2 linked regions of the Caenorhabditis elegans genome follow. The protein of the gene in region 1 interacts with the protein of each later gene in a pairwise test. Each region holds a gene or a part of one and is shown on either strand. Other genes may lie near its edges.

Evidence for each region.
Region 2: the proteins of dcr-1 (region 1) and eri-1 interact in binary tests that used the Caenorhabditis elegans proteins (3 or more experiments, as listed by UniProt).

The regions. Positions count from the first base shown.
Region 1 is NC_003281.10:8,073,183-8,088,560, forward strand, and holds the start of dcr-1 (Death-promoting deoxyribonuclease), read right to left. Parts: upstream 7,100-15,378; 5' UTR 7,093-7,099; coding exon 7,042-7,092; intron 6,997-7,041; coding exon 6,834-6,996; intron 6,740-6,833; coding exon 6,606-6,739; intron 6,561-6,605; coding exon 6,401-6,560; intron 6,336-6,400; coding exon 6,196-6,335; intron 6,144-6,195; coding exon 5,772-6,143; intron 5,340-5,771; coding exon 5,157-5,339; intron 5,113-5,156; coding exon 4,984-5,112; intron 4,940-4,983; coding exon 4,697-4,939; intron 4,651-4,696; coding exon 4,496-4,650; intron 4,428-4,495; coding exon 4,061-4,427; intron 3,953-4,060; coding exon 3,773-3,952; intron 3,732-3,772; coding exon 3,663-3,731; intron 3,613-3,662; coding exon 3,462-3,612; intron 3,345-3,461; coding exon 3,014-3,344; intron 2,954-3,013; coding exon 2,361-2,953; intron 2,315-2,360; coding exon 2,133-2,314; intron 2,084-2,132; coding exon 1,778-2,083; intron 1,735-1,777; coding exon 1,419-1,734; intron 851-1,418; and 7 more. Other genes in the region: apc-2 (Anaphase-promoting complex subunit 2), read left to right, coding at 7,470-7,522, 7,566-7,695, 7,830-7,962, 8,008-8,134, 8,178-8,421, 8,467-8,614, 8,664-8,781, 8,828-8,903 and 7 more; K06H7.7 (uncharacterized protein), read right to left, coding at 10,604-10,729, 10,779-11,078, 11,131-11,248, 11,312-11,390, 11,434-11,613, 11,664-11,812, 12,030-12,210, 12,262-12,283; grp-1 (GTP exchange factor for ARFs 1), read left to right, coding at 12,569-12,587, 12,639-12,736, 13,054-13,239, 13,314-13,658, 13,721-13,932, 14,507-14,636, 14,686-14,877; tRNA endonuclease vms-1, read left to right, coding at 15,358-15,378. UniProt on the Caenorhabditis elegans protein: Component of the ERI/DICER complex which is involved in processing amplified double-stranded RNA (dsRNA) intermediates during small-RNA-mediated gene-silencing or RNA interference (RNAi). Involved in cleaving dsRNA in the RNAi pathway.
Region 2 is NC_003282.8:404,636-421,625, forward strand, and holds eri-1 (3'-5' exonuclease eri-1), read right to left. Parts: upstream 15,324-16,990; 5' UTR 15,317-15,323; coding exon 14,982-15,316; intron 14,765-14,981; coding exon 14,644-14,764; intron 14,590-14,643; coding exon 14,488-14,589; intron 13,957-14,487; coding exon 13,884-13,956; intron 13,841-13,883; coding exon 13,717-13,840; intron 13,652-13,716; coding exon 13,516-13,651; intron 13,468-13,515; coding exon 13,270-13,467; intron 12,704-13,269; coding exon 12,536-12,703; coding exon of another isoform or gene 12,446-12,535; exon of another isoform or gene 12,233-12,445; intron 12,196-12,232; coding exon 12,086-12,195; intron 12,030-12,085; coding exon 11,921-12,029; intron 11,551-11,920; coding exon 11,460-11,550; intron 11,324-11,459; coding exon 11,142-11,323; 3' UTR 11,000-11,141; downstream 1-10,999. Other genes in the region: kgb-1 (GLH-binding kinase 1), read right to left, coding at 1,313-1,456, 1,515-1,621, 1,668-1,928, 2,098-2,269, 2,319-2,403, 3,112-3,227, 3,271-3,400, 4,051-4,142 and 1 more; T07A9.12 (uncharacterized protein), read left to right, coding at 9,615-9,716, 9,807-9,955, 10,683-10,869; Phosphatidylinositol 3,4,5-trisphosphate 3-phosphatase and dual-specificity protein phosphatase daf-18, read right to left, coding at 15,791-15,910, 15,963-16,361, 16,929-16,990.

The sequences.
Region 1 (15,378 bases):
TTGCTGCCACAAATTGTTCAAGAAATTTAGAGAAGCATTCGGATTGGTCGGAGTGTCAATGAATCGTAGAAGAGGTGAAGGTACGTCACTCTTCTGATCTTTTTGAATTACTTTCAGTCCCATCCAATTCATCACCTAAAAATTGAAAATATCAGAATTTATCCGTCAAAAACGAAACAAAAACCTTCAGCGTTGGATTAGGTCCCAACGTCAGCAAATGTACTCCGATCAAAGCTTCGACTGCGTCAGCGATTGATTTATCCGAAATATGCTGTTGGGTGAGCAAGTTGTAAGGAAGTGGAGAGATATCATCATTACCAACACGGGCTTGCTGGAAATATCACGATTTTAATAATTCGTTATAGATTAAACTTTAACTACCTTTGGGAATGTAATAGTCTCTATTCCATCGGTAGTGCTTTTCGAGACATCACCACCAATGTCCCATCCAGTTTTATTTTCAGGTTTCTCTTCAATCACTTGTCCATCCAAAATTCGTTCAATTTCATTATCTTTCTCTTCTGCATCATCAGTGTTAGGAGCTTTGAAGTCGCAAGTTGGAATATAGCTGGAACAAAATAAGATATATGACTACAGAATCACAATTTGAAAAAAAAAACTCACCATGGTGGCAGCCAAGAATCGTGAGCATCGAATTTATTTGCAACAATCAATTGAGGTATTCCCAATTTCTTGCCCAGTCGATACAAATTGCAATTTGAAACTTCTTTACTACGTGCAAACGACAATTTTCCTTCATGTTGATCAAGCAACGTGTGATAGAGATAATCGGTAGTAGCAAACTTCAAGAAAGAGTCTCCGATTGTTTCGAATCTCTCTAATGACATTCCTGAAATTTATATCATTTACTATATATAAAGCGCTTATTCTGTGTGTCCATAGTTTGTAGTCTATGAAGTCTATGTAGTCTGTGAAGTTTTGGCTTCTGTGGGGATAGTGAGTTGGAGTTAGTGTAGGGATATAGTTGGGGTGCTGTAGTGGCTCAAGAGTGGTACGGTAGGAATACTGTAGGGTTACGGTAGTTTCAGAAAAATTAGTTTTCAGCCCCAGAAGTCGGGGGCCGCGCCGGAGGTGCGGTCCACGGCTGGTTAAATATAATATATTTTACTTCGCAGATCATTTGAAGAACTAGAAATTTTCTCGATTTTTTTTTTGGAATTTTGACGAAAGTTTTTAATAATTTTTTTTTCATAGATAATATTTTTTCTTCATTTTCACATTTTTATTTCAAATACTTTCCTATTTTGCAAATATTTTTTTGTTTTGAGCTAAAAATTTGAAGGTTTCGAAATTAATCCAAAATCTACATTTTTGTTTTTTGACACTTTTCGTGTTTTTTTACAATTTCAATTTTATTTTGTTTTTCGATCCAAAAACAATTTTTTGTTAAAACTTACCATCTGCAGCATTGGAAGTAGTAAGAGCAGTTAACAAAAGACATGGAGATACTCCTAATCCAATATCTGAATCAATATGTGACACGTATTCCTCTGATCGTTGTCTTATAAGTCGTCCATTTATTGCTTTACTTTCTTTTTCAAAAGAGAATGAACGAGACTTTTCATTTATAGCAACTGGCAAAACTTCACAGTTTTCCCTTTCGAGTACATCAGTTTTAGCTGCATTGTCGTCTATTTCTTGTTTTTTCCGGGCTCCAATTGACAACTCTTCAATTTCTTCATCTATGGTTTTCGGGAAATTTGTTGGTGTATTCTGAAATTTTTTTTTTTCATTTTTTAAATTATTTATTATTTACCTCATCCTCTTGATTTTCTTGATCATCTCCATAATCTTCTAAATTCACAGTATCCTCCAATCTTCGCGGTTTCTCCATATCTTCTGACATTTCTAGAGCTTCAAGTCGCTCTTTTGCTTGTTTCAGCAAGTCATTTTGAAGTTTCTTAAACTGTTCTTCTTCTTTTGTCAATTGTTTTGGAGGTGAAACTGTCGATTCTTGTACAGTTTGAGAAAGGGAAGACGAAGCAGTAGATGGATCAAAAACTCTTCCGACATCAGCCATCAGTGCCTGCACATTCAAACCACCTGGTCCACCGAGAATTTGCTGGAAAAGACTCTTCGTAGATGGTAAATGTTTTCTAATTGAAACTTACGAAAGGCATGGGACTATTATCTGGTTCAGGTCCATCCCAATCTCCCCATCCGCTTGGAACAATAGACTCAGATCCTGACCATGCACCAATTCCATTTCTGTTAGAAGTGAGCCTGGCTGTGTAATCATGCATTACAAACGGCAGTTCATCGTCTTCATCGGATATATTCCCATCATGAAGTCCTGAAATTCAGATGATTATTAAATTGTTTTACCAAATATGTTCTACCTTGTGTTAGTCCTACAGTATCCTGATCTTCACCGTCCATTCTATCATCTCTTGAACTAATTTCTACACCAATTCTGACTGCCTCTTCTGGATCCCAAACTCCAATATTGAATAACTCCTCACCATCGTCAATCTTATCATTTTCTCTCGTCTCTCTTTCTTGATCTTCAATCGATTTTTGATTTAAATCTCTCAATTGTTGAATTTTCTTAACGATTATCGTTTGTTTCTCTTCATATTCGGTTGCATATGCCAGAGAATTCCATTCAACATTATCATCCAGTTTAGTTTTCTCTTTTCCAAAAGCTTTCACCAAAATTGTTTCTCGAAGTTCATCAGTCAACAATAACTGATTAACACGATAGAAAATACTTGGCAGGGCTGCTATAACATTCCAAAGAGTCGCAGAGATAGGATGAATGTCCATCAATTCCGGTACAAGGATCTGACGTTGTGAAGAGTGTGGAACGGAAGTATTCGACTCTTTTGAATCAGAAGCAGATGCTTGAGGAATATTTGACGTTGAGGAGTTACTCACAGTTCTTGAACGACGTGGTTGATTTTGAATTCGAGGTTGAAGAAGGTTAAGACGACTGAAAAATTTAAATATGAATATTTATGACTTTTTGGACAAGATTGACAAAATAACTTACGTAGATGTGAAATCTACATCCAATAAACTTTGATTCTGATCATAAATCTCTAATTTATATTTCTTGATGAAATACTCGTTAAACGTTTCGAAGTGCGTATCCGGGAATTTCGACGACGGCCTCCATTCTGGTAGAATTTCAGCAACATAGTAGAATACAGGCTGTTCCAGATTTCGATACCACGGCATTACGATCGCATCCTTATAATCTTCAGCGTTGAATTTGTATTGACGACGAACTTCATCTTTTGGAATACGTGGCATATTTTCCATGTTTGCAACTACTTCCGATACATATTTCATGTTGATTGTGTAGGACATATCATCTTTTCCTATAACTTGAGTTCATTTTTATACTGTAGAATTTTTTTTTTTGAAAAAATTATCCTTATAATTTAGTAGACATGCTTTAATTTTGAAGAAATATCTGAATATGACGTAGAACATACGCTTGTTAAGTGGAACAATCAACGTGTTCAATGGTGCATTTGATGTTCCATCGAATTCCAAATTTCCCGTTTTACACATTTGAAGAACTTGTGTGAACAAATAATTATGGAACAGTTGAATCTCTTGAAGCTGAGCAGCGGTTACGGTAGTCTGAAATTTAGGAATTGTAAAAATAGATAAGCTCATTTTCAGGTGAAAACCTTTTTCGGTGCGACAATCAATCGGACTTTCATATTTCCTTGTCGAAGAAACACTGGGAATGGTGGGATCTACAAATAAATATTATTAGCTATCAAACAGAAAAATGTACCTTTGGTATCTCTTTTGCGCTCAGAAATCCGAAGCAATATTCATAATTAAATGGATCTTCAAACTTTCGTCTTTTCGGGTTCAACGTAAGTTCGGCTTCCCGGAAACGTTCCAATTCGAATGCATAGATGAAACATTCCTTATCTGCTTCCACGAAGGATTCATTGAGAGCACGAGCAATCTGTAAATTTTTAATTATTTTTACTTAATTATCACTATTACTTTTCCGATAATTAAATTATTTTCATTGAATTGAGCGACTTTTAGAAAATCGAATATACGAAAATACCTTTTTGTCATATAATTGCTTTCGTTTTGATGATCCAACTTTAGCAGCAATTCCAGGTGCATACTCATCCGGCTCCTCATCAATATGTTCTAATAATTTGGCAATCGACTCTCTTCCTTTTGGAAGTAAATTATCATCGAGTTCTCCTTCTAAATGTAATTGTCGACATGCTTCAAGTGCAACTGCCATCTGTGCAGTCTTCTTATTTGGCATTGGATTTTTGAGCACAATTGCATGTTTGATCGGTGAGTTAATTGGAAGAAGAAGCTCTGCACAGTATTTGGTCACTCCATTCTCTTCAATTGGAATGATTTGATTGTGTGGAACAAGACGAGTGAAGATATCGGAAGGAAGCTTCGAACAATATCTGGAAGATTACCAATTGTTTGTATTTAGCTGTTGGATTAAACTTCTAAAGTGAAATTATTAATATACCTATTAATTAATGCGATAGCAGTTGACATTTTCAATGTTGCACCAGTTTTTTCAACAACATATGGTTCCATTTGAGAATCAACATCAAATTCTTCAAATCTATCCGAATCATCTTCAATAGGATTGTTGACTGTACGATGGCGGCTAAGAAGAATCTTAATATCATTTTTTAAACAATTGAACTGAAGATTCCAATATTACTTTTTCTATTTGCTGGAAATCTTTCAAATCACTATCACACGCCGCAGTATCTTTCTCCTCAACAGTGATAACATATCTTGATCCAGCTCGCCGAGCTCTTCCCTTTGACTGAACGTATGATCTCATGTCAAGTGGTCGATCAAATTTAATCACAAGATTACATTGTTTAACATCTACACCTTCTTCAAGCACTGATGTAGCGATAAGACAATTGATTTCATTTCGATGGAAACGGCGAAGAACCTAAAAATTATATTTAGACAATGATAATTTAAACATAAATTTACTTCAGTTTGTCGTTTATGTAATCCTTGACTATCCGAACTCGCCAAATTTCGTCCGCTGGCTCCAACGACGTAATCCGGGTTCACAAACTTGAACTTAGGCTCCCATGATTTAATATGACGCATCATAAGCTGAAAATTTACAATATATTACCGTAACATTCATATAAACCTACAAGTAACGAATATGCAATGTACCGTTGATCGACAAAAATAATGGCTGATAAATGTTCTGCTTTTTCTAACTTCATTCGTTCTTTTTGAAATTCGGGGTTGAAAGTTTCTAGGATTTCGAAAAGACGTATGACACGTTGAGGAACATATGGACGGAGAGCTTCAATACTTTTGATTTTCTTCATCTAAATTGGAAAAAATTGGTGTAATTAATAGTTGATTGCTTACACTGGAAGTTGGAAAATGCTAACTTGGAGTTCAATATAGAATAGTAATTTTAGATTAAAAGTGTTATTGAGGATCATTCCAAAAATTCAGCTGCGTCCGAGCAGTTTCACCCCTTTTGAAAAAACTTTCAACTTAAAAAAAGTGTTTCCAAATATTCGTAAATTGTTTTTAAAAAACATATAGCATTCAAGCTTCAGCCCATAATTCTCAAAAAGCCATGAATTGAGCTACAATCTTACAATTTGAAATCTTGCTCAAGATTTGTAGCTCTCTTGGTGAGTAGGGAGTTACGAACTTTTTCGAATGATAACACTTTTTTGTCGAAAAATTGCTATACCATAACGATACTTCGAGGTACCATTTTCCAACGTCTCTTGTTAGGTACGCACCTCCGGTTCCAACAATCTTTTAATCGTAATCATAGATGTTTTTGCCATATTCAAAAACCGCAACGTCTTATCCGGTAGCACTTGAGATTTTATAATTTTTCCCAACTCTTTCTCCCAAACTTGAGCCGTTCGCCATGCCGCCCAAGGTCCCAGTTGACGAAAAACAGCTCGCGTCGTCTTGAGAGAATCTTTAATCGGTCTACGAGGATCCAAATCTAGATCTGGATGAAATTCTGTTGTGGTGTTCACAAAGGCTACAGTTTCATCAAATATTTCTATAACTGTGTCGAAATTCGGAATACCCAGGCACCCAATTTCAAAGTCTTTGCAGATGATCACAACTTCATAGGGTTTCGCACCGTATTTCGAGAGCTAAATTAGTTTTATTGGAAACAAGTCTTTGTTTGTCTTTTTTAAATCATACCGAGACTAAATCACTAGCTGTCTCTATAACACTGTCCATCGCAGATTCCAACTTTTTTAACTGTTCCATTAGTTTTTCCGGCGCAACTTTCGCTTTGATAAGACTGGCTGTGAGTCCTAATACACGTGGGACGGGTTTGTCTGAAAAAATATTTCCGTATTTTGAAGCGAATTCGAAGTTTCACCATTAATTCCTCAATACTTACCCTTTTTCAATAACTTATAATCGACCATGATGCTTCTGTATGGATGTTGAGAACCGAGAGCATGATGACATTCGTCAAAGATCAGAACACACATGTCTTCAATTTTCAAGTACGCATGTCGAATCAAATCAAGAAGGCATTGAGCTGTGATCACAACAACCTGAAATATATATGCTCGATAGTTCAGCTTCGTATTCTCACTCACATGGTGCCTCTTCATGAACTGATCACATTGTTCTTTGCTGTCCCATAAACCACTACTTGTCTGTCCGTGGACCTGACCAACTTTGAAACTTGTGTGAACTTCGATGTGGATAGCTTGTTGTTCAACGAGGTTTACTGGAAAAAATGATGTTTTAGAATAAATCTTGTTTTTTTTTGTCAATTATTCACTTTACTGGCCAGCTGGCTTATTTTTAATAGACGAAATTACCTTTCTCTACAACAAAAAACGCTCGTTTTCCACCCTGATCCAATGGTGCAAACAATTGAACTCCATATTCTTTCAGCAGTAGAACTGCAATGAAAGTTTTTCCTGAACCAGTGCCTAGTTGGACGATTGTGTTCTTTTTTGTCGCTTTATCCAAAAGTTCCACCTGAAAATCGATTATTTTTAATTTATTTTGCTACTTAAAAATTACCTGGTAGTCCCTGGGGTTAAAACATTGTAAATCAGCTCTTACCCTGACCATTATTGGTCTGAAAACAGGGAAAATTGATAATGTTCAAAAATTACAATAAAAAATAATTGCCGCTGACTGCCCCGTAGTATGCGCTCTACTGAACCAATGTCTATGTCTCTTTCATGGGAACATTCAAAAGACGGAGGAAAAGTGGAATCGACAGAAATTTGAAAGAAAATACTCTGAAAAATCGTGTGAAAAAAAAGAAACAAACATTTTTTCGTATAATTTTTAAAGGAACATTTATTCGCGGTTTTTGTGGAAATGTAGTTTCCGAGACCCCAACCTTCGTTTTAAGCATGATCCTTTAATATATACAGTTTCTCACACATTTGTCATCGTTCTCTTCTCGTATCCTTGCTGAAATTATTTTAACCATTTCGAAAATGTCCATTTTTGACAGAATGACTACTTCGAAAGAGGCTGCGATGAAGTACAGGTATGGAATTTTTGAAAATGAGTTCCGTAAAGACAGTTTTCAGACAATTTTGCGTCTCAAAGAAAAAAGAAGTCTGGGATGCTCTGATATATCACGCAAAATACGCAAAAAATATTGAAAAAGTTTATGATATGACGACAGTTCTGCAACGAGTACAGCAAGAATGCCTGATGGTGAGTTTTAAAATTTTTAAATCCAATCAAGAACAAATTAGCCTTATTCTCAATTAAATGCTCTGAAAAATCTTCTCCTTATGGAAAACGGTCAGAAAATAGAGGTGTAACAAGCTAATGGAAAATAATTTCAGTTTGCATTGGAAAAAGGCGTTGGTCAACCGGATATTCGCGATGCTGCAGAGCTCATCTTCCCACTGGCCATGCAGAAAGTTGTTATCAAAGTTCTCAGACCTTATTTTATGTCGCACTTCACTAATTACAGACGTATTTTTTTTTCATTCAGCCCCAGTTTCCAATAACATTTTTCAGTTGCCATGTACCTTCCTCATCGAAAAATCGATCATGGAATCGATTTAAACCAAGAGCTGTGGACACCAGAAAAAAAAGAAATATGCGGGCAATATGTTCAAGATTTTAATCCTTTTGTCAATGAATTGTGGGTAAAGCCTGACTTCCTAAATTATATATAACATTTTCAGAAAAACTGGAATTCTCAATGCAAATCGTCACATGAACGCAGCACTTTCAGTGTATATTCGCGAGCTTGCTGCAACATTGGTGATGCACGAGAAAGCGGCTTTTGACAATGAGCTGAGATGTTCAATGTTTCAAGAAATTATGGAGAGTCTGAGGATTTGGTCAGATCAAGTAACAATGCAAGACGCATTCCATTTAATTAGTGACACTATTTACAAAGATGTCTTCCAAATGCTTTCCAAAAACGTGAGTTTTTAAAAAAATTTGGAACCTAAAAAATATTTTTTGTAGGCATATGAAATGATCGCCGTAGATTTTCCAGTAAAATTTCGCAGTCTCATCACAATGAAATATTGCCTTTTGAGAACTAATAATCATGGGAGAGTCGATTTCACAAATTACTTGATAGATCAAGTTAACACAAAACTTCTTGTTGCATGTAAGTTGGTGAGGGGAATTATTTAAAACTTAAATATTTAAAATTTCAGCGGTTGATACAAAAGACATTTTGAAAGCTTATGCGGCGTGCGTAGAATCTCTTCGTGAAATGGACAATAGTTGCGTGGTTATGCATAAAGTTTGTGGAGTTATCAGAGAATATTTGAAGTAAGCTATTTCCTGATTGTTTAATTATATTTAATTTTTTTTTCAGAAGGCGACCTGACACTGTACAACAAATTATCAGTTACATTACTTCTAATAAGAAAAATGAACTGGAAAAAGATATGGTAAGCGTGTACTAAAAAAACGTTTTCTAACACTTTTCAAGAGCTTACAGTCTAAAACTGTTCGATCGGCAATGATGGACGAGGAAGAACTGAAAGGTGTCAACGATGATTTTTTGCCAGAAAATATGGAGACGCTTGGATGGGAAAACTGGATGCCTAACCCAACTGATGCTACTGTTGGTTAGTGATTACAGATAAAAACTCACGGAAGTTCAATGACAATTCTCTCAAATTCAGTAAAAGTTATTAAAATGTTATTCTTATTTTCAGGTGATGGAGCACCCGGGCATCAAGGTGTTGACGTCTTCAATATGCTTGTCTCTGTATATGGATCCAAAGAACTTTTTGTCAAAGAATATAGAAATCTTCTTGCTGAACGACTTTCGAGTTCGGACAACAAAGATGTAAGTACTCTTTTCGTTTTCAACGAAGTCTATATCTTTTTTAGCCTGAATTCGAGAAGCGATACCTGGACTTGCTGAAACTGAGATTCCAATACAGTGAGCTACAACATTGTGAAGTGATGCTTCGGGACGTTATTCATAGTCTCGATATTGATAAAAAGTTTGAAGACATGAGTGAAAGAAGCGCTGGAAATTATGATGTTCCGATTATTCCAATTTCTGCATGTATCATCTCAAGTCATTATTGGCCAAAGTTGGAAACTGAAAAAACAGAAGCGGTGAGAATATTGCAACAATGTTACAATATGAAAAATTATTTCAGTTAATGCCTCAACCATTGCAAGCTGCGATGGACGTTTACCAAGAAACTTATCTGGACGTGAAGCGCGACAGAAAATTAGAATGGTTAAGAAGTGTTGGGTAAGTTTCATTTGTTGAATTATCATGTGAATTTTAACTTTTTAAAGATGTGTAGAGGTTTCTATCAATATCGATGGAGTTGAAGTAGATCGAACAATTCCAAATATGTACGCTCTTCTCCTCTTCTTGTTCCTCGAAAAAGAAACATGGACAACTGCTGAAGTAGTCGAGAAAATGGGAATGTCAGTGGTTGTGACAAGAAAACGATTGGAATGGCTGGTTAAACAAGGATTTATTTGCATGGTAAAATAGAAAATTATTAAGTTATCATATAATTTCATTCTCAGAATCCCATTATCAGTAGCGACACGTGGACATTGACCCGGAATCCAAGTGGAATTTCCATCGTTCGACCAGGCACACCGGACCTTGAAGACGATGAAGATGTGGAACCGGAAGAGAATTCTGATATGGTTGATGCTTTAGAACAATATTGGGGATATACTAGAAATTTCATTGTAAGTAAAACTTAAAATATATAAGAATAAAAAAATCAATTTTCAGGCCAATCATGCACCTAACGGAGAAGTGAAAGCGGAACGGATGCATCGTGTCTACCGTATGTTCGGTTCTCCAACTTCTGCAGGACCCACTCTTGATCATGTTTCCGCGTTTTTGCAAAGAAAAGTTGCGCTGGGACTGCTAACCTGCATTAATGGGTCATATCGTATCATTCAGGAAAAGAAAGACGGCGAATAACTTCTTTCATTTTATAATCTTGAAATTTTTTTTTTCTAAATTTAAACAAAGCTGGTATTTATGATGATCTAATTCTATAAAATATTTCAAAACAATTTATTAAAAAACAACAAAAAATGGCACAGTCGATTTTGAGATTCAAGAGGATCCAAAGAAATAAAAAAATTTAAACAAAAACTATTCGAGATCAAAAATTTGTGCAAAGATGAAGCATCGTCGTTTATTCAACGTTTGACTCTCTTCAATCTTTCGACGTATTACATTTCCGTGATAAAGATGAAGCGACTTGGAGAAGAGAAAATTCTGCAAATCATATTTATATTAATTCAGTCTGAACACTTTTTTTCCGAACCTTCACAAAAATTTTGCACTTATCGAACCATTCTGTGTACATGCGACTTGATTGTCCTCTCATCATTTTTTGATACAAATCGTACATCTTTTCACACGTTCTTCTCGAAAAGTCCAGATCATCTCTATTCGAACTTCTATTCACATTTGATGATATATGTCTTTCCAAGAGATCGTCAGCCAGAAATGACACGTGGATCTGTATATCTTCACTGCATGGTATCGGGATATCAGACAAATCAAGTGGTACTGTAAGGCGAACTTTAACTGCCAAATCAGCACTTCCACAGTCTCGGCAACTCTGAATAAAGAGAATGATAATTGCCAAAAAGAGATCGAAATTGAAATATTACACAATCTTCCTTTAGCATCTCGACAAAATGACCTGGGGCGTGTGATTGGCAGACCTTTGTGAACACAACATATTGAATGTTCTTTTTCGAGTAGTGGTTCCAGTCAAATGTGTACATGCTGAAAATATTATTTGTTTGCAAAGGATTTTAAAAAATCGAATTTTCGCAAAATAAAACTAACTAATCAAGATTCATAATGGAGAACTTTTGTATACTTTTCTGAAACAATGACATCACTTCGACGTATTTCGATTTAACACCTGAAAATAAGAGTGATTTTAAATCAGACAGTCTATAACTGACCACTACTTTTTGATGATGGCTGATTTATATCACTTATTCCTTCATCAATATTCTCTCTTGTCCCTACTCCAGGAATATTCTTATACTTCGATAGTTTTTCTGGGTTATCTCTCTCAGCAGTAACACGAGCCAGGTTGTCGAAGACATTAGAAGCAAATGTTATTTTATCAGAAGGTCGTTCTGAAATATGTCTTTAATTTTTTTAAAACTAATTAAAGTGAAATTGAAACCTTCTGTTCTCTTCCTCTTATCAGTTTGTTCAATATCTCCAGACGTCCTCCGTTTTCTTTCCTTTTTTCGATTAAATCCTAGGCAACTATGAACACTATCCGAAAGTGGAGAGGAACTGAATTCCGTTTGCCTATTTTCTTCATCGGTTCTGGAAAGCTTATTCATTTCATGAGGATTAGGGCTGTGCAGCAACCGGCAATTGCCGAAGTTGCCGAACCCAAAAATTTTCGGCAACCGGCAATTGCCGAAGTTTCCGAACCCTAAAAATTTCGGCAACCGGCAACTTTTGGTTGCCGAAAATTCGGCAACTTGGTTGCCGGTTGCCGCACAGCCCTGATGAGGACCAATATTTCAAAGTGACATACGGTAAAATCTCAAAACTCTGGTCGTTAACCCAACTAGCACAATATGATGCACATTCTGAAGATTCTGGGAGAGCGACTGATGGTTTAGGTATTGCTTTGATTGTTTTCGCAGCTTCGGATGGACTGTTAATTTCACCAAAGAATTTATTGAAATCTTGAGGGTCTCCCGTTGCGGCAGAACCTGAAGTTGAAAGTCTTCAATTTTATATTCATATGTATAACTTTAACTTACTTTCTCCGGCAGAAAACGACATCTCGCACAAGAAAGGAAAAAAGTCTAGGTCCTAGAATTATGTTATAGAGTACTGTAGACAATTGTGTGCAAACACTATGAGGGATGTTGCACAGTAGACACCACATTGTACGACATTTAAGAGTTTTTCTTTTTCTTCAATTAGTTTTTCTTTGCTTGTATTTTTCCTGATTTGTCATTTTCTCTCTTGAGTTGATATTGTTTTAAAGTTTAAAACGTTTAAAATAATTCATTTTTCAGCATTGAAAAAGGAAGTCTGTGTATGCAGCGGAAAAACAAGGGATAAATGTCATCGCGGTATTCAGGTTTGTACACTTGAGTATTAAAGCAAATTTCAACGCTTTTGATAATTTCAGAACGAAATGGACTATCGGAGACGGAGAAGATGACTCTTCCCAAAGTACGCAAGAGGAAGGCACAACTTGTCGATGAAATTGAGGCGCTAAAAAATGAGGTGTGAAAACTAATTAGTTTTAATGAATGTTTTAGCCAAACAAAAATCTTTAGAACGGAAATCTTCACTTTTCTATTTTAAATAATATTTTTCAAAATTATATTAATCAATTCTCTGTGATGCCTTTTACGGTTTTGTTTTTGCATTCTAAAAATTTAGATTTTTGTTATAAATATCGAAGAATATTTCTAATAACTGAAACTTTGATAAGCTATCTTTGATTTCTAAAAAAAACAATAAATTTAAAAAAGCAAAATGACGTTCTCCATGTGTGCTATTTTAAATTCTGTCTATTACGAAATATGTCAACATATTAGGTACGAGAAGTTGACGAAGAACTCGATCAAGTATATTACACCCATCCAAAATCAAAAGAATATCACAAAATAGTGGTGAATGGCCGAAAAAAGTTCAATCAAGACCCATGGAAAGCGTTGGATTGGTTGGCATCAAGAAATGTAGTTGCAAAGGATCCTCAAGCATTGGCGCTCTGGATGAAAGCTGTGAGTTTTCTTATTTTTTAAAACAATTATTTAATAGAAATCTATTTATTATGTTTTCAACTGCAATTTTTCAGGGCGAAGGACTTTCTAAAAGTGCGATCGGCGAAATACTGGGTGATAACCGTCCATTTGCGTTGGAAACCCTTGACAGATTCACAAAAGAACATAAATTGCATGATGTTCCGATTGTTCCAGCTCTTCGTCAATATCTATTTTCCTTCCGGCTACCTGGCGAATCGCAGAAAATTAATCGAATTTTGGAGAAATTTGCAGAAGTTTACGCGAATCAAAATCCATCATATGGAAATGCAGATCAAGCACATACAGTAGCATATTCATGTATTATGGTTAATACATTATTACATAATCCAAACGTTAAAGATAAACCATCACTGGAAAAATATATTGAAATGAATGAGGTTGGTATAGGATGAAAATTGAAGAAAAAACATTTTTAATGAAATTAAATGGAAAATTTCAGCAACTTCTCGAAAAAGGTGCAATTACAATCGAACAGCTCACAGAAGTATATGAATCAGTTAGTGTTACACAATTCAAGATCCCAGATGAAGTATCGACAAGTGGAAAAGGAACTGTGAACGATATTCTATTACATGCTGAACGAGAAGGATGGCTTTTCAAGCAGAGTAGTAATCCATTATTTTCTGGTGCTCTTTCGTGGAAAAAACGATGGTAAGGTTTTGAATATATTTATTAGTAGCATACTTTTTAAAGATGGAACCGTATAACCGAAATATAACTGTTTAAAAAATTATTAGTTTTCTACTAAATATTATGATTTTTTAAATTTTGCAAAAATAGGAAAGGCTAAATTTGAATTCCGTTTTCAGACTAAATTTATTGATTTTGGTGATTTTTTCTCGGATATTCGATTAAAAGCTCGCTTTTCCAATTTTTAAAAAACAATTTCTCCGTTAAAAAACTTGATAACCAGAAAGAATATTGGATTAAAAATCGATTTTTTGATAGTTTTTTTTTTGTAAAAATGTGTGTAAAAATTTAACATTCGGTTTTAACCAGAAAACGCAAAAATGGCGAAAAACTTTTTTCTTTTGCAAAATTGAAAAAATCATTTTAAAATGTTTAAAAAAATTTTATTGCAATTTTTTTAAATAATAAAAATGTTTTTTCGGTCATTGAGGTCAATATGTATCTTTTAAAAGAAACTCCTCATCCGAATATACTACACTTTAAACCATTTTTCACATTGTTTCATGAACACAAATAATCCTTAACTTTATTATAGGTTTGTTCTTTCTGAGAATTGTCTCTACTACTTTGACCAAATGACTGATAAGGAACCAAAGGGAATCATCACATTGGCAAATGTTGGAATACGGAAGGTCGAGGCACCCTCCAGGCCATTCATGTTTGAGGTTTAAATTGCTGAATTAAATTTCAAAGTTAATTTTTCTTGAATTCCAGATATTCTCTCTATCGGATGGACAAATCAAAGCATGCAAAACAGAACAAGATGGGCGGCTTGTCGAAGGACGTCATTCGATTTACAAAATATGTGCAGTAAATGATGAAGATATGAGATCATGGATCAACGCAATATCACGAATGATGGCACCGCAGCAACATTTATTAGCCAGACCAAAAAGTACCCACTGAAACATTTTGAACAATATGATTGCAAATATGAACATTTCTGTAATTTTGTATTCTGAAATTGAGACCGGGAACAATCAAATATTTTATATATTGTTTCTATTCTCGTATTCAGTATCTTAATTTAACTTCTCCATTCAAAAAATACTTCTATAATCTGTTATCCTCCACCAAAACGAGTCATTTTAGGCCTTTCGCACTTATTTCCTTTTTTTTCATACAAAAAAACTCACTTATGTGTACTTTTTCCATAATAACCGTATTCTCAATTTTTCGAAATAATTTCGCCTGAATTAATTATGTAATCATTTAATAATCAGCTTTTTCTCTCTTCATTCTTGTTTTTTCTGTTTTTTTTTAAAGATTCTACAGAAAAAGCGTCCATTTTTCCTTTTTGCCTTTTCTTTTCATCTATCGGTTTGTGACCCACTTGATATTTTTTCGAGACTTCAGTCATAACTTTCATAACTTTTTTCAGAAAATATGGGGTTCACATTGAAAAGT
Region 2 (16,990 bases), on another chromosome or scaffold:
CAATGATTTTTATGAATCATTGGATATTTTTAGAAAAGCCTTTAAAAATTAAAAAAAAACAATTAATTCTCGAGTTGTGACGTTTTCGTCGCCTTTGTACTTTTTGTTCCACCTATTGTTCTTCTCCCATCCAACTTTAAAAAAAAGGTTTTAGAGTACATTCTTCTCAAGAGTACTTCTATATTCACTGTGAGCCCCTGATTTTACTTTCAACAAATTCAGAACTTTCATAAACATTTCTCATTATTTTTCTTTAATCTTGCATAATTGCTTAAATTTTTAGTACGCCTCAAAACTTTGTTTTTTGTTACTATATTTATCCGTTTGTGTTTAGTTGTTTGTTGTTCAAACTGTTCCTGTTAGTTTTATTTTATAAAATCTCTCAGACTTGATGCTAAATTCCGGTTTTTCAAAAAATAATATGATAATAACAAAAATTCGGAATTCCAAAACCCAAAAGTTCAAACTTACAAAATATCAAGATTCCAAAAAAATATTTTCCATCCGCTTTTCTTAATTCTAGAATAGAATACTAAAAGAATCATTTGAAAACATTTCAAGGCGTCTCTGTTTCTCTTTTTGTCCAAATGTCCATATACTTTATTTCCCATCTTTATATCAAAAATCTTTTACTACCCAAAAGTCGATTTTCTGTTGTCCAGCCCACTTTTCAGTCTTCAAACCTCATCTTTTACTGAATGTTCAATTTTTGTGAAATAAATGTACTTATTCAAGACCACCATTGTCCATCTGTGTGATTTAATGTCCGGTCGTTCTGGATTCCCATTTTGGCTTCATTTTGTTTTTGAGAACAAAAATTAAAGCATCGTTTTGAAGAAAAAAAACCTATAGGTCTCCCAGCTAAGTGAGGCGCGGACTTCACGATCGGGTTCCCTGCCGCACTATATATTCGGATACATGCACTGTGATTGACGCTGTGAGGCCGGCGCGGGCGCCGCTGTGGCGACCTCATAGGGGACCTGGTCCCTAAAAAATTAATTTATTGATTTAGAATTTTGAATTTAAACCTGACAATACAATCGAAAAACAATCCCTACTTTATAATGAGATGCAAATTTTGTGGAGCTAAGGTTCAATTTCTTATACTTAAAACAAAACAGTTCCAAAAAATCTGTATTCCAAAATAATTAACATTTAGTGATTATAATCAATATAGAAAATAAGCAGAGAATCACCAGAAAATATGGCCAACTAAGTGACAGAACACAACTGAAAGATAGATTTTTGAAGAAAAAAGTAACACAATTATTTTTGAGAGAAAAAGAAACAATTTTAGGTTTTTTATTATTTATTATCCAGTGAAAATGTCGTGGTCGGCTTGATAGCGTTGCACTTCGTTGAAAATTAGCTCTTTCCATTCAATAAGTGTCTTATCGGCAAAATCAATTTCCTGATCGTATCGATTTTCTGATGCGGGGGCGTTTACCTCATCGTCCTGTAAGATTTGAGATGCATGATTTGATTGTTTTTGTTTAGTGCTAAAATTGTTGTACCTTAAACCACAACTTAACATATGGATGATTCAGTGCATCTTCAACTGAATACCTTTCTTCAGGATTGATTTTCAACATATTGAACAGGAGATCACGAGCCACGTGTGCTGAAAATATGATTTATTTTTCAAAATCCTGTATAGCCTGACTCACGTGTCAAATGGACCCTTGGATTTTCAGTCTCCGGCAGAAAATTGGTATCAGGAACGATTTCACTGAATGCTCGTGCCTGATGACGTGGCAACGATCGAACATACATAGCAGCTGACTGACCCAATTGACTAATGAAATGATCATCTGGTGTTCCCAAAACACTATAAATTTTAGTCCATTGATCAATTCGATCTTTTCCAGGGAAAAGTACGGTATGGTTGATCATTTCAGCAAATATACATCCGACTGACCAAATATCTACTGCAATTATGAATTGAGAGTGTTGTTTGGAAGCGGCCGACACGTTTGGGGTTTTACGCGCACTTTACATGCGGATACGTACGGCGTGAGGCTGTTTGAGGCGGCTCACCGGAGCGCAGATGGAAGTCCAGCCCAAAATTACAAAAATTTTTTTTTTTTTCGAACAAACCTTTTTCCGAATAGGGAAGACCTAATATAACTTCGGGGGCTCTGTAGTATCTTGTCACCACATAATCTGACATTCTCATCGATGTGTCCACATTCTTCTTCCGGGCCAATCCAAAGTCTAAAACTTTTAATACACATCGATCGTTGACGACAATATTCGATGGTTTTAAGTCCTGAAACTTTGAATTTTTCAGAATGTTGTCTATAGTGGTAGATACGTACACGATGAATGACTCCCGAATTGTGAAGATGCTTGATTGCGCACAAACTCTGGTAGACGAAGAATGATAATGTTTTATGGTCCAATCTAATAATTCAGAAAATTTTTTTAGAATCTAATTATGTGTTTATATTCAATATTCAATCATTGAATCATTGAACAATCATGAATAGGAGCTCAAATGTGCAAGTGTTCTAAACTTTTTTAAAAATTCTGATTTTTGGTAGTTAACTAAAATCTTGACCAAAAATTTTCAAAACACGCTGGAATATTTTTTTTATTTTTTTACGCGTGTTCTGGTAGCTAACTGTGCGTGTTTTGATGATGGTTTCGGCACATTTCCAAGTGGGTACTCAAGGTTGGATAAAAATGTATTTCCGACCTTGGGAAACGCGAAAGACGGCAAAATTGAAAGTCTAGCTTTTGCCCTTGTTTCTTTCTTTTTTTAAAAGTTTTTTTTGTTGAAAAGTGTCAGCAATAAACTTATTATTATTGTTGAATATGTTTATTAAACGTGAAATTGAGACAAAAAAGGTTGATATTTTGGAGTCGTTCTGAGTTTATTAGAGCAAAAATGAATCCGCCACTCCTTCTTTAAGATATCGTGCTTTTCCTATTGTTTTATTTTTATTCTTTTGTTCTCAAAATCAATAACAGAAAAATAATATTTTACGTCTATTAGTCTCTAACAAGTCCATCATATACAGTTTAAATTACGTCTAGTATACTAGATATTACTATAAAAATTGGTATTACTGAAAAAAAATCATAAAAATCAGCCACCATGTCTCTTACCTTAATCGATGTATAACCTCGTGCAAATTGTGTGTCATTAATTCCATAACTAGATATACTTCTCGGAACGTTGAAAGTGAAGTGTCCGGTGTAAACGCGTTTAGTAGACGGATTATCTGAAATTTGGAGCATTTTTTCTAGATTCCAACTGAATCTTACATTTGGGTGTTTGATAGTCGTTAGCAGTATAAACTCTCGATATGCTCGCTTTGCGCTCATTGTCATCACAAATGGTTGTTGCATCTTCTTGATTGCCACACGTTGCGTTGTTACTAGGTCATCGGCCATTCTAAATGTAATCAATAAAAATTATGGCTGTTCACTTAACTTAGAAATTCTGTTTGAAGTCATTTGCGCGATAATTTAATTTCAGTCACTTTCATTCTTCTAGAAGATCTTCTTGATTATTGATTTTTTCAAGCTTTTTCAATCTTAGAGGTGGAGCAGCGGGCAATGACGAATAACAATGATCTCGAGACCTCTACCTGTTTTAAAAGTTTTTTGATAGGGCGGTCCGTTTTTTTTCGGGAAGTCATCATTGTGTCAGTGTTTGAAATTACGCAAAACCGAAGAAAAGTTAAAGTGTAAAAATATACAATTGAAAGGCAGTGAGACATTCAAAGATGGAGTACGACCAGAGAAAGGATTCTCTGAAACCAGCCATATGTTTCTAAAATGACTAAAATTCATAGTTCTTTCAAAAAATTTATTTTATCTTTTGGTATTTGAACATTATTGGGGCTATAATTTGCAGTAAAGTGTGAAATGTTTGAAAAAGTAAAAATTATTCGAAAATTTGGCAATCTATCAAATCTTTGATTAACATCTTTGAAGTGTTAATATTTGTTTGTCTATTGAAATTTTTTGTTTACTGCGTTAAAAAATTCGCCCTATTATTTTTCCTTCAATAAAATATTAATGTAATTAGTAAAAACTCACACGACAGTTCCTTGGGCGCCGGCATTCAGAAAACTAAGGTTTACATAACGAGTTGGAATAGTGAAAGTGCTGTCCGCGCCGGCTATCGGGTCCTGAAAATGAATTTGAATGGAGGTAAAGTATCTAGTAACAAACCCTAATTGTAACTTGATGAAATCTAGACGCATCATACTCGTTATGTACCGGCAGATCCACTTCCATCTTATTGTGCCTAAAAAGTTATTAGTTTCAGGGAGAAATACTTAAAATTCAAAAATTAAATATAAACGTTAGTCATTAAATTTCAGCTTTTCTTAAATTTTTAAAAGTATAATTTCAATTTCCAAATAAACGTTTGAAAAAATCTATAAAAATTTCATAATTCTTATCACTTGCAAAAATGTTTCTGATTTTCCTTTCCAACCGGAACTGATAAAAATGCCTTAAAATTGTTGAGTTTCATCAAAACTGAGTCATTTCAACCCACGTAGAAATCAATAAATCTTAAAAACGGAGATTCTAACAGTTTGGAAAATTATTTTCTTTCCAAATATTGACTTTCCATTTCTGGAGTGAAAAAAAATGAGGGAGGGGATATATGTACATATTGTTAGTGAAATACAGTTTTCATTTTTTGAAGTGCAAACTAAACCTGACAATGTTTAAAAAATAGACTAAAAATAGAAAGATATGTAGTTTAATAAATAATCTTTGCAGCTAATCTTTAAATGTTTAATCATAACTTTGGATTTGTAATAAAGAAGTCATTTTTTAACATTTAATGAAATTTCAGCGTTTTTGTTTGGGTTTTTATGTTTTTTAATCGACTCATAAACTCATATTTCATATTTGCATGACGCAAAAAATGTTCACACTTCAAAAATTTGACTTCAGTTGTGAATGATCTTACACTTTTTGCGCTTGGTTTTGAAAGGATGTTCGTATTTAGGAAACAAAAGTCAACACTAATTTCAATGGAAAATTTAAATATTTTAGGTATCAAGTTGACTGGAATGTAACATCCAATAGTGTGTTTCTTTTTTTTAAACCTTTATTATAGAAAAAATACGATCGTACAAAAATAAACAACGACGCAATGACACTCCACCGTTTCTAAACCCCGCCCAAGATTTCATTTGCACTGAAATGTGTCGGCCGCAGTGCAAATGAAATCGTGGGCGGGTCTCAGAAACAGCGGAGTGTCGTTGCGCCGTTGTTTATTTTTGGGCGATCGTATTTTTTCTATAATACTCTAATTACTTTTTTAGTGGGATCACCACCAGGCAGTGTACCTGACTCCCAGATCCGCAGTGCATAGCGCTTGAAGAACGGATCGTCCTTTAATCCTTTAATCCTTTTCTCACGAACTCTACAATAAATACACGGGTTACTCGAATGGTTTATTCTAGCAATAGTTCGAGTTCGGGGTAATTTTGAGGTATTTGCTGTTAATTATTAGTGAAATACATAATACTGCATCGAGATAATTGAAGTCTATTATTCTCAACAAGTAAAATTCAAACTAAAATTGTATTAAAAAAGCAGGGGAAATTTTTTATTTTTACTTAGATTCGAAAACTTGAAGAAAAAAGGCAGTATACCCAGCCTGCCAATTTTTACTTTTACACTTTAAAGACACTTTAGATTTTGTTTTTTTTAAATCATAAATAACCTTTTTAAAAAGTTATAATTAAAAATTAAATAGTACAGGAATGATCTATATACATATATATATATATAAGTTGACAATGCGAAAGAGAGAAATAGTGTAGGTATTAAAAGTTACGTCACTGAGTGAATGTTTGTGTGCGGAAGAGAAGCGATAGGCTGAAGCCAAATAGGAGATGCAGAGAAATAGAGATTTCATCCTTCAGAGAGAGACACACCTAGGATTGAAAATGTGTAGAGAAGTAGAGAATCAGACAGAAAAGAGACACCACTCTGTTTTGGAGAATAGAGTTGCCGTAGAACAAATCGACCGCCTATAATAAAAGCTTTGAAAGTAAATTCTATAAGAAATAAGTTTAATATGTACGTTTTAAGTTTTAAATATCTTTTTCTCAATTATTAACATTTATGACAACTCAAAGCGCTACCCAATTAACTTGGGCCATGAAATCTCGTAGGTGCCTAATCTCCCAAAGTCGTGGGTCCACATTCTGTGTGGTCTTTCCTGTGGGGTTTTTTGGTTGTTCTTTACAATTGTTAAATAATACTTGATTTTGTCTGTTTGTTTCTCTAATTCTTTTCAATCTCTGCATTATTCCTTAGATTTCCCATTTGTTAGTCATCGGAAGTGATAACTCGATGCTAAAATGAAACACAGAGATAGTGAGTTGGATAATTTTAAATTATAAGGTGAAGTAGTGGTTTTTTTGCCATAAATGACAGAATACAGTCCCAATTTACCAAATATAACTGTTAAAAAATCAAAAAATAATAATAAATTTTTTATGATTTTTTCAAAAAGGCCGATTTAAATTTGAATTCTCGCACAAATTAATGGCGTCATTCTCGACATTTTGTGTTTTACGGCCAAACTAATTGGTTTTTCTTTATTCTTACAATTAGTTTTATAATTTGAAACATAATTTTTCAATTTTTCAAACATTTTTCAAACTTGATAATTGCGAAGAAACTTACCGAAACTCTGAAATTGGCTTAATTATTCAAAATTAATCATACATTTTCTTTTAGTCTGAAAAATTGACAGACTGTATTTCAAATTATAAAACAAAGGAAAAATGAAGAAAAACCTATTAATATAGGCTGAAAACGCAAAAGTTTCGAAAATGACGTCACTCATTTGCGCGGGAGTTCAAATTTAATTCAGTCCTTTTTTTTAAATTTTTGTAAAATTAAGAAAAAAATCATTAAAAAATTAGAAAAATTTCATACATTTTCTACATTTTTTAACAGTTATATTTAGTATATTGGGTCTCTATTCTGTCATTTATGGCAAAAAACTTACAGACGCTACTCCACCTTTAAATTTGGAACTTCTATGTATATTCTTTGAACACTTACCCAATAACCACAATCATCTCGTTTTCTTCCGAGAATTGTGAAATATTTTCGTAACAAAAATAATAGAATACTGTTTTTATGAAATTTACTTCTAGAATCCAATTTTTGGATGAAGGAGACAATTTTGTAAAGATGCACACAAATCGAATTAGTGTACTGTACAAAAGATGTTCTATATTACTTTTTTCACTGATCAAACAATAATAAATTTCATTGGAAAAATAGTTTTGAATTTGAATTTTTGTCTATCCTAACTACCTTTTTGAACAATTCTTCAACGCAAAAAAGTTTGTATCTATTTAAAAAATAAAAACTTCTTCTCAAGAAAATTATACATAGAAATAAAAAAATAGTTCCTTGAAAGAGAGATGAAAGTACAATGTGGTAAACAGCAGTTATTCGTGTTTTTTTTCTGAGAATGGACGCGTGTGCTGAAATATCAGAGAACATTAGGAAAAGTGGCCAAATTTTATCATTTTCCTGAAAACATCAAAAATAATTTAAACTTCTGGAATACCACAAAGAAAACGAGAAAAAATTGGGTAAGAATGTAAATTCATTGTCGAAAAACGTGATTTTTCAATGGCAGGGTTCTCTGTTACACGTTTGAACTTTCGAGCCAATCAGCGTCTTCAAACTCCACACAATCCGTCCGATTGGTCTTGCATTTCTTCTTTTGGAGGAAATTCAAACAGGCAGCTTTGCCGAAGTGAACATGTCCCTTTTTTTTAAAGTAAAACGTTCAATTCAGGGGTGTGCGGCAAACGGCGAACGGCAAATGTCGTTTGCCGAACGAAAATTAAGGTTCGGCGAACGGCGAATGCCGTTCGCCGAAAAAATTTTCGGTTAAAAGATCGGCGAATGCCGAAAAATTTTCGTCATTTTTCGGCATTTGTGAAAAATGTTTTTTTAAAGTTAATCGAATATATATTCAAGTTTTTCACATTCATCCGTTGAAACATTAATGTACAAACATTGTAGTCATACCCTTAAAAATTGCTTTCTGCAAACAATCAGGGGACATCTCTGTGTCTCTTGTATCCGAACACTCCCAAGTCACCTGTATTTCTAACACTTCCCAAAAATCAACATATTTGAGTTAGTAGCCATATTCTTTTTGTCGACACATCGTCACCCCACCATAAAACCCTCGAAGATGTTGTCTATGGCTGTCCACGTGTACAATTGTTTTGAATCATTCTCTCCTCTGGGATCCTTTTTTGGTTATCTCAACAGTCTGGTTGGTTAAATATGAAATTGATCTTTGCTTGAAAATTTAAACCAAGACACTCCTTATCAAACTTTGGAATTGAACTATTTAGATTTAGAAAATGCAAGAACAAACAACAAAACATCAAAAATTTTAAAAATGCCGAAAAGTGCCGAAAAAACTGGGTTTTTCGGCAAACGGCGAATGCCGATCGCCGAAAAAAATTATAAGTCTGCGAACGGCGAATGCCGTTCGCCGAAAAATGTTAGAGGTTCGGCAAACGGCAAAAGCCGTTTGCCGAAAAAAAAAATTAAGGTTCGCCGAAAAATCCGGATGCCGCACAGCCCTGACCTTCTTGACTTTTTAAGCTTTGTTTTTTGTCCTTTCTGAATTTCTGACTTTTGTGGGTATACCCAGAAATGAAGCATGTTCTAATAAGACCAGTCAGTCAACAAAGACTAAGTATATAACTATATAGTTTTAACAACCGGGTATTATAACTATATAACTATACCAGCCGTGGACCGCACCTCGGCTCCCGGCTTCTCTGGCTGAAAACTATTTTTTTCTGAAACTACCGTAAACTTACAGTACTCTTATCGTACCACTACGGTACCCCGATTATATCCCTACATTAAACCCAATTCACTATCAAAGACTTCATAGACTAAAAACTATGGACACACGGAATAAGTTTTAAATACATATAGAAAATAATAATACTTAGTTTCTGTTGATTGACTGGTTTTTTAGAACATACTCCATTTTCTATTTCTGCCGCTCAGCTACCCATTATTTTGCGAGCAAATTTGTTCTATTCAATTACTTTTTCAAGTGCTCCAAAAGCTGAGGCCTCGATCTCCCATGAGATACGTAAACACCGCAGCGGAAACTTGCAGGAATTAATATCATCACGGCCCGGCAAAGGGTACATCAGTGTAAATGCCCTCTACCGGACACAAAGCATAACCTCCTGGTTCAAACAGAAGGTATGGAAAAAATTCACCTACGAAAATTATATAACTTTTTTTTTGGTCATTTCGTCTTCCAAATTTTAAAAAACTAAGGTGACGTTTTTGAGAAAAATGCATAAACGCAGCCAGTGGTACGGTAGACAAATTGCGTACAGGTACCACTTCTCGGGCCGTGATCAAATTCAAACTGACACTATCACTGATATTACGTAGTTTTTCGAAGTCCTGCAAAAAAAACTAGTGGCGTCATGCTATCAAAGCACATGTTGCAACGACTTTAAGATGATAAATTAAAAAATTTGGTTGATATGTTCCTTTAATTTTTTATATCCTCTAAGAATTTTTGTACAAAAGTCGAGTTTCAGAATTTTAGTATGGTGCTTCTAACACTTCGAGAGATGACAACTTGGTTTGACATTACATTGTTCGAATTATGGGTTCATTTTGCAGCAATTATCGTATCTTCGGTCATGTTGGTATGTTGAAAAAAAGCTTACGAAAGTAAACCATTTTGAATATTATTTTTCAGTTATAAATAAGTTCATCTAAAACAGTTATAATTTCAGTGTCTAAAACTGCACGAAACAGTATCAATCTCATATATGTGGGTGGCATCTCCTTTGTTCGTTGGACTTGCATTTTCTTATTTTTTCGTATTCATCATTTATCTTCGATCATGTGTCGAATTTAAGGATTATAGAGGTCCTACTGTTAGGTAAGTTTTGAACCTGTTTTTAATTTAAAATTTTCATTTGTGTTTGATGAAATATATAAACAACTGTTGGCAAACCTGGAGTCGCGGTTTTGCAATTTTTGCACCAAAGAGAACTTGTCGTTAAATGTAGAAACGTGTACCTTTATTAAATATTTAGTACTGAAATTTCAAAATTCCTCTGCTGCTGAATTTTGATCGATTTTCATAAGAAATCAATGGAAATTTTTCAAAAATTGAAGTTTGAAATTACAGAACTCACTTAAAGGCGCACAATTTTTTCGCATTTATGGTTTCGAGATCAGGTACCGTATGCCTGGAGCAAAAATCAAAATTTTGGAGTTCGAGTTAAATGCCTGAAATAACCTTCTTTTTACAACTCTAACGCAGAAAAACTGTCTCTGTTTTGCATTTTTCTGAAACTTTTCTGGTACCTAAAGACGTTTAGATTAGTTTAAATAGTTCTCACAGCAATAAATTTTTTAAATATTGGCTTAATTCAAGATTCTTGTGGTCTTTCCAAAAATGGTTTTACAACTCTGAAACTCTTATTAAAATGAAGCGGCCGCCGGAAAGATCGTGGCGAGACCAGTCCGTAGGAATACATAACTGCGAAATTATAGCCCGTTGAACGCAAATTACGTGTTCCTACTTGCGACAGACCAAATGCGAATCATCTGTGAAAACAGAAAATTCAAAATTGAACATGCAATATATATTTTTTTTTCAGAGTAATTCTCAACATATTCCGTCTCACATGCATCACGCTCTTCATATACTTCATCGTTGAAAAAATCAGTGGAGAGTTGGAGAAATCAGAAGTTGCAAATCGGAATACGTATGGGATGGTTTTTTTGCCAATGTGGCTTCTCCTGGCTTCGTGGGGATTTCAAATGTGTCGGGCAACAAATAACTAGTTTAACTGCTCATTCTTCTCATTTCCTATCATTTTCTGTACATTATTGTTGTTTTTTCCTATTTTCAACGGGTTTCCAAAAGAAATACAAATAAATACCATCTGAAACGTCATCCGTGTATAACCTAAATAAAACATGTGACAAATTTCATATAAACGCGATTTAAAGGAGAAAAAAGATTGGAGCGAAAAAAAATTGAGATCAAAAATGAAAATGAAATACTCGAATACTACAAAACCTGCAAAAATAATTAAATTCGTATACAAGAAAATCTAGAAACTAGATCGATTTGAAGACGATGCCAACGAATTTTTGGGCGGCGCATTCAACACGCGGTCCACGTCATCGTCGATATGAAGTGGTGATGATGACGTCACATGTTCTGACGTGGCATGTGGTGATGATGTGGATGACGATGGAAACTCGTGGAGACTTGGAGCATTTGAGAGGTTTTCTGAATTTTCACAATTATGTTTTTTAAGTGCTATTCAATAATTTAAACTTTGGGAGCAATTGAATTGACATTTTAATCAAACAGAATTTCAAGCTTTTTCTAATGCAATTTCCATATTGCAATTCCCTCGACGTACCTCTTTCAGAATCACTTCCACCATCTCGTTCCCATACAGCATCTAAATCGACTTCAGTGTGTAACGTAGAACTAACTGGAGGCATTCTTTCCTGAACGAAAAAATTAATTATTAAAACTCCAAATCGATTTGGTTTTTTGCTCGAATTTTATTAAAATTTGAAAACAAAATAAAAGTTCGGTTTTGTATTATACGAAAATCGAAAAGCTTAGTTATTCAGAATTTTTTTCTCTCGCGGATTTTTAAAATCCACACCACGATGAATCTGAAATTTATACCTACATTAATTTTTTTTTGAAAGAAATTTTCGATTATCCCGGAAAACATTGCAAATTTCTGATTTCAAAAGCAGAGTTTTCCGCTTTTTCGGAGAATTTTTGAATTTCGATTCATCGAATCGTGGCGTTGATTTTTAAAAACAAAATTGATATTTTTGAAGTGTTTTTTCTCAACATTCTCACCACAACTTCCAACATTTCAAATTCAGTTCCATAATCTTCCTCTTCACTTTCAACATCCACGTCATCATCCTCTATTATCGGTCTTGCAGTTTGATATGATTTTATTTCACTGAAAACGCCAGAAACTAGATTTTTTTGTTCAAAATTCCATCCAAAGTCCATTACCCAATTTTAAAAATTCCCCGCTCAGCAGCAATTTTCGCGAAATCTTCCGTCTGTTTATTCTCCAAATACTCTCGAATTGCCATTTTTTCCTGGAATGCCGCCTCGTCGTTCTGAAAATTTTGAGTTTTTGTGTGTATAAAACATGGAAACAGAAAATTATTTATTCGGGGCGAATCAAATACAACTATACCAGTTTCAATGAAAAATGTGGGCTTGGAAGAAACATAATTTTTAAACTAAAAATGTAAAATTTGACATGGAATTTTACTTTTGAAATAAAATTTGGAAATTCGTTGGCTAAGACACAAAATTGATAGGGAAAATGTTTACATCAATAAGTATACTTTTGCCAAAATTCGCCTAGCAAATCAAACACTTTGAATCTGTAAAACTAGCTGAAGTTTTTTCATCGAAAATTTCATAAATATCACAAGAATGTAGATGTTTCACCTTATCATCAGTCAAATCATCACATGAATCACAATCCAAATACTCTTCATTTATGAACTCTCGTCGTGTCACAGAGGACAGTTTCAGTGGTAAACGACGCATCCAAAGTTGAAAATCACGACGAGAGATATCGACTGATGTAAGATCCACGTTTGCAGCGTCTTCTAACTGAAAAATTTAATAACTTTTTAATTGAAATTTGTGATGAACTATTTCCTAATTTTCCTAACAAGAAGGAAAGGTTTCCATTTTATCGTCAGACTTCATTTCGATCTGGAATTGTTTCAGTGCCTGTTTTCACTACTTTGGAGGCCTGTAGAATTGCTCCAAATGCGTTTTTTTCAAACTTTAATGTTTTTTCAGAACGTTTAGAAGTAGGTGAACACTCTGGGAGATTTTTCAAAAATTTGTAATTTTTTGAAAAAAATCTGAAAGTTTCTTCACTCCACTTGATCCAAAAATGTTCAGATTTTCACAACAAAAAAAAGTCCAAAAATCTCCCAGAGTGTTCACCTACTTATAACCGTTCTGAAAAACATTGAACTTTGCAAAAAAACATTTAGAGCAATTCAACAGGTCTCCAAATTAGTGAAAAATGCACTGAAACAATTTCATATCGAAATTTTAAGGGTTGAGGGAAGAGCTTTTTTCAAAACATGGAATCACTTGTTGACACCCGAGACCGAATGGGAGAGTCAACCCATCGGGTGAAAACGACGTAGTCTGTTTCGAACCTCTCGCTCTTCATCCTTTCGCGCAGCACTCCGTTGATTCTCCTTATACGAGCATTTCTGATTAATTCTCAACTCAATTTTCAACTTCATCATTTGAATCGCAATCGCTGCAATATTCGTTGCATCATCCAATCCACTATGTTTATTTCCAACAAACGACAGATCCAGACGTTCTAACATGTTTTCAATTCCGGATTTCTGAAGAGAATTGAGGTTTTAATTAAAATTTGAACCTTAAAAACTTACTCCATTTCCCTTGATAAGTCCATTGAATTTCTCTTTGAATGTCTTTTTGATGTTGATAAAACTTCGGAACATATGGGGCATTCGAATATTCGATAAAAGGCATTGAAATTGCATGAATTTCCACATATCGTGAGGTCTGAATAGTTCGTTATGCACAACTTTGAAGTTTTAGTGAACAAAAAATCGTCTTCGATTCCTTACCCATCAGTAACAAATGCGAATCTGGAATTTTTCTGTCCGAGATTGAATTTTCGCATCCATGTGTACAGCCGTTGAAGAGCCTCTCGGAAATATGGAGCAGCATCGACTGTTTCTTGGGCAATTTCTACAACAGGGTTTACATTTTAAAAATGACATTAGTGTCTTACTGGTAAACTGCATACAAAATTCGCTGAGCTTCGGATTTCTGACAGGTCGGACATAGGTTCGAAACTCGCTGATCTGGAAATTAAATATGCTTATTTTGACGATGGATATTATAAAGTTATATATTTTTCGTTTTTTATTTATATTCCTAAAATAAATAAACAAAACAAAACAAAAAAAGCTTTCAGTTTAGTCAGTTTTTATAACTTGATAATACACCAAAGAACTTCCATCTGCCTTAAATTGAAAAATGGGAGAAGGATTTTTCTATTTTTTTCCAATATTTTCTTCACAAGCGAAACAAATTTTATAGCTAAATAAGAAACCCAAAAAAGACGAAAAATGTTGTATTTGAAACGTTTTTTGTTGAATACATTTTTATATTCCAGATTTCGATAGGATGACGAAACGTTTGTCACCTTTTCCCGGAAAAAATGATTTTCTTGCGGGAAAACACGAAAAAAAAAAATAAAATTCGAGCCGAAACCCCAGAGGAAAAATCCAAAATCAAGAATTTCAACTGAGAACTGTTCAATCCTTGTCCGCGGGGAGTACACGACATGCGTAATTCGACATATTCCATTTTCAAAGATGAAAAAATCCTACAATTTTCATTTCCCGAACGTCGATCAAAACTGCCGGTAATTCGATGATTTCGTGTGGGTAATCGTATATAATCTCGACGCACGTACACTCGAAATCAATTGCCTGAAATAATTAATAACTAAAGTATTTCTTTTCCAGAAATTCTGAAAATCATACAATTAAATAGTCAAAAAAGCGTGCAGTTTTATCGGCATTCGGCTCCATTTTTCGATTCAATAATGCATTTTCCTTTCGATAATATTGTGCAACCCGTTTTCGAAGAGTTTTCTTGTTTCCGCTGAAATTAGAGTTATAATTTAAGTTAATTTCGAAATTTTAGTAAGAAAATTACATTATTTCTTTTACGGATGACTATATTTAACGCAAAATGATTCAAAAAATGCTGTTTCTTTTTAACAAAACTATCAAAAATGAAGCAAAGCTATATCTTAAATGTACGAAATTGGGTTCTGTTAGGAAAATAAGAAGTTTGAATGAATTTAGCATAATTTTACCCTGTGGACACTTTAATCTTCATCAACGCTTGTTTTAGCTGTTCAGCAGTCATTGTATCCATTTGCCTTATCACTTTTTTCACGTATTCTGGTTCCACCATTGATTTTAAAGGCTCAACACGTTCGGAGGGTAAAAGTTGCTGTTCACGTGGAATATCGATTGATTTTTCAGATTCGTCGGTTCTGGTTTCAGCCGATTCCACTTCAACTGCTGTTTTTTCTGGTTCGTCATTCTGTTTTGCGTTACTTGCATCGAATTCTTGGCTGATTTTCAGCAAATCTCGTAGACTTTCCAGATATTTTTCGTCTTCTGGAGACGGCTCATCTGCGCTCATTTTTTAACTGAAATTTTAGAAAAACAATGTAAATTCGAATGCGCCTAGATTCTATGTATCGGAGAATATAATTTTTCTTTGGAATTATCACCAATTTCAATGTTACAAATCTAAATAATTAAACAAAAAATTGGTAAGTACAATTAATTTATGGGAGAATTGTGTTAAAGCCCATAGGATTAGTGATGACCCGCAATGTGAATTACAATTTCTGAGTAAGAAAACAGATGGAAGGGGATACATTCATAGGGAATTGCTATTTTTCACCCGGCAAAATATACATATATACGTGGAAAATCGGGAAGTTGAGAGCTATAATATGAATATACAAAATAATCGAACAATAGTTTGTTAAAAAACAAAACACTATACAGAAAGTGAATGATACTTTGAAGAGAAAACTTAAAACATTGAAATTATCTGAAAATTGGAGGGTCAGTAAGAAGAAAATCTTCTAAAAGTTTTGTTTTAGGTTTACAAATAAATAGCTTGATCAAAATTCGAATCCGAGAAGCTGTTTTCGGAAAAATGAGCAATTCTTGGGATTTTATCCTCTGGATGTAGCTCCGGGCACGTTTCACGACGCTCGATTTGCTGAAAAATTAACATTTTAATCACATAATAAAAAATAAAAAAGATTACTCACCACACGATGATTAGCTTCCAAATGTAGAAGCACATGATTGCGGGTCTTCTGAGTGTCTTTGCCAGTTTCTTTCACCATTTGTTCTCGAGTTTTCAGGGCTTTTGGATTTTTAGAAGAACCATTCGATTCTTCTACAACGTGCCCGAATCGCTCAAACGCTTCACCAAGAGTGTGTTCAAGATCGACTTCCTCTGCATTCGCTTGAACTCGTTGAAAATCCTCCGACTGCTCCAGTAACGCAATCTGTGCTTTAAAAACTTCGGCCTGTCCGGTTACATAATCAGCAAAGGAATTGTCCGATGGTACTTTGAATTGCTTCATAAACTCTTGTAATACACCTTGTCCATTAAGCAACTGGTCAACGAAGGCTTTTGCCTCTTGTTCAGCTATTTTCACTTCCTGAAAGTTAAATATTGAAAATACATTCAACATTTCCCGATAGTTTTTGATCTTACTAGGAGTTCTTATTTTTGGTGATCAGAGAGTTATGGGTCGAATGTTATATTTTCTGGAAGCTAATAAAACGAGCATATCGAATTCAAAATAAGAAATTTGCCCAAAGTGATGTTAAGGCAATATTTTCGACGTTGAAAGCGTATTTAAGCCAAAAAAGTCGTTGTTTTTGAAGCATGGACTTCAACGATACAAGAAAATAGTCACCTAACAGAATGTTAAGAACAATACGAAAATCATTATTTTAATAACGATAGCTAAATACTCAAAATATTTCTCTAAAAATCTGAATGAAAATTAATATAACTTACCACTGGCAACGAATGAATACGCAGGTTTTCAGCGAGGAAACATTATAATATTGATAATATAGAAATATAATTAGAAACTATAGCAATAGGAATAATTATTAGAAAAATTACACCTAGGAAGGTGAGTAGATTGAGGGGTCCCGCATATAATATAAAAAGTTCACTTTCAATTCCAAAATTTAAAATTTCAAACCAAATTCACCGAATCAGTGTGATAATCCTGACGCAGCATGTTACCGGCCGTATTTGGATGGTATGATTCAT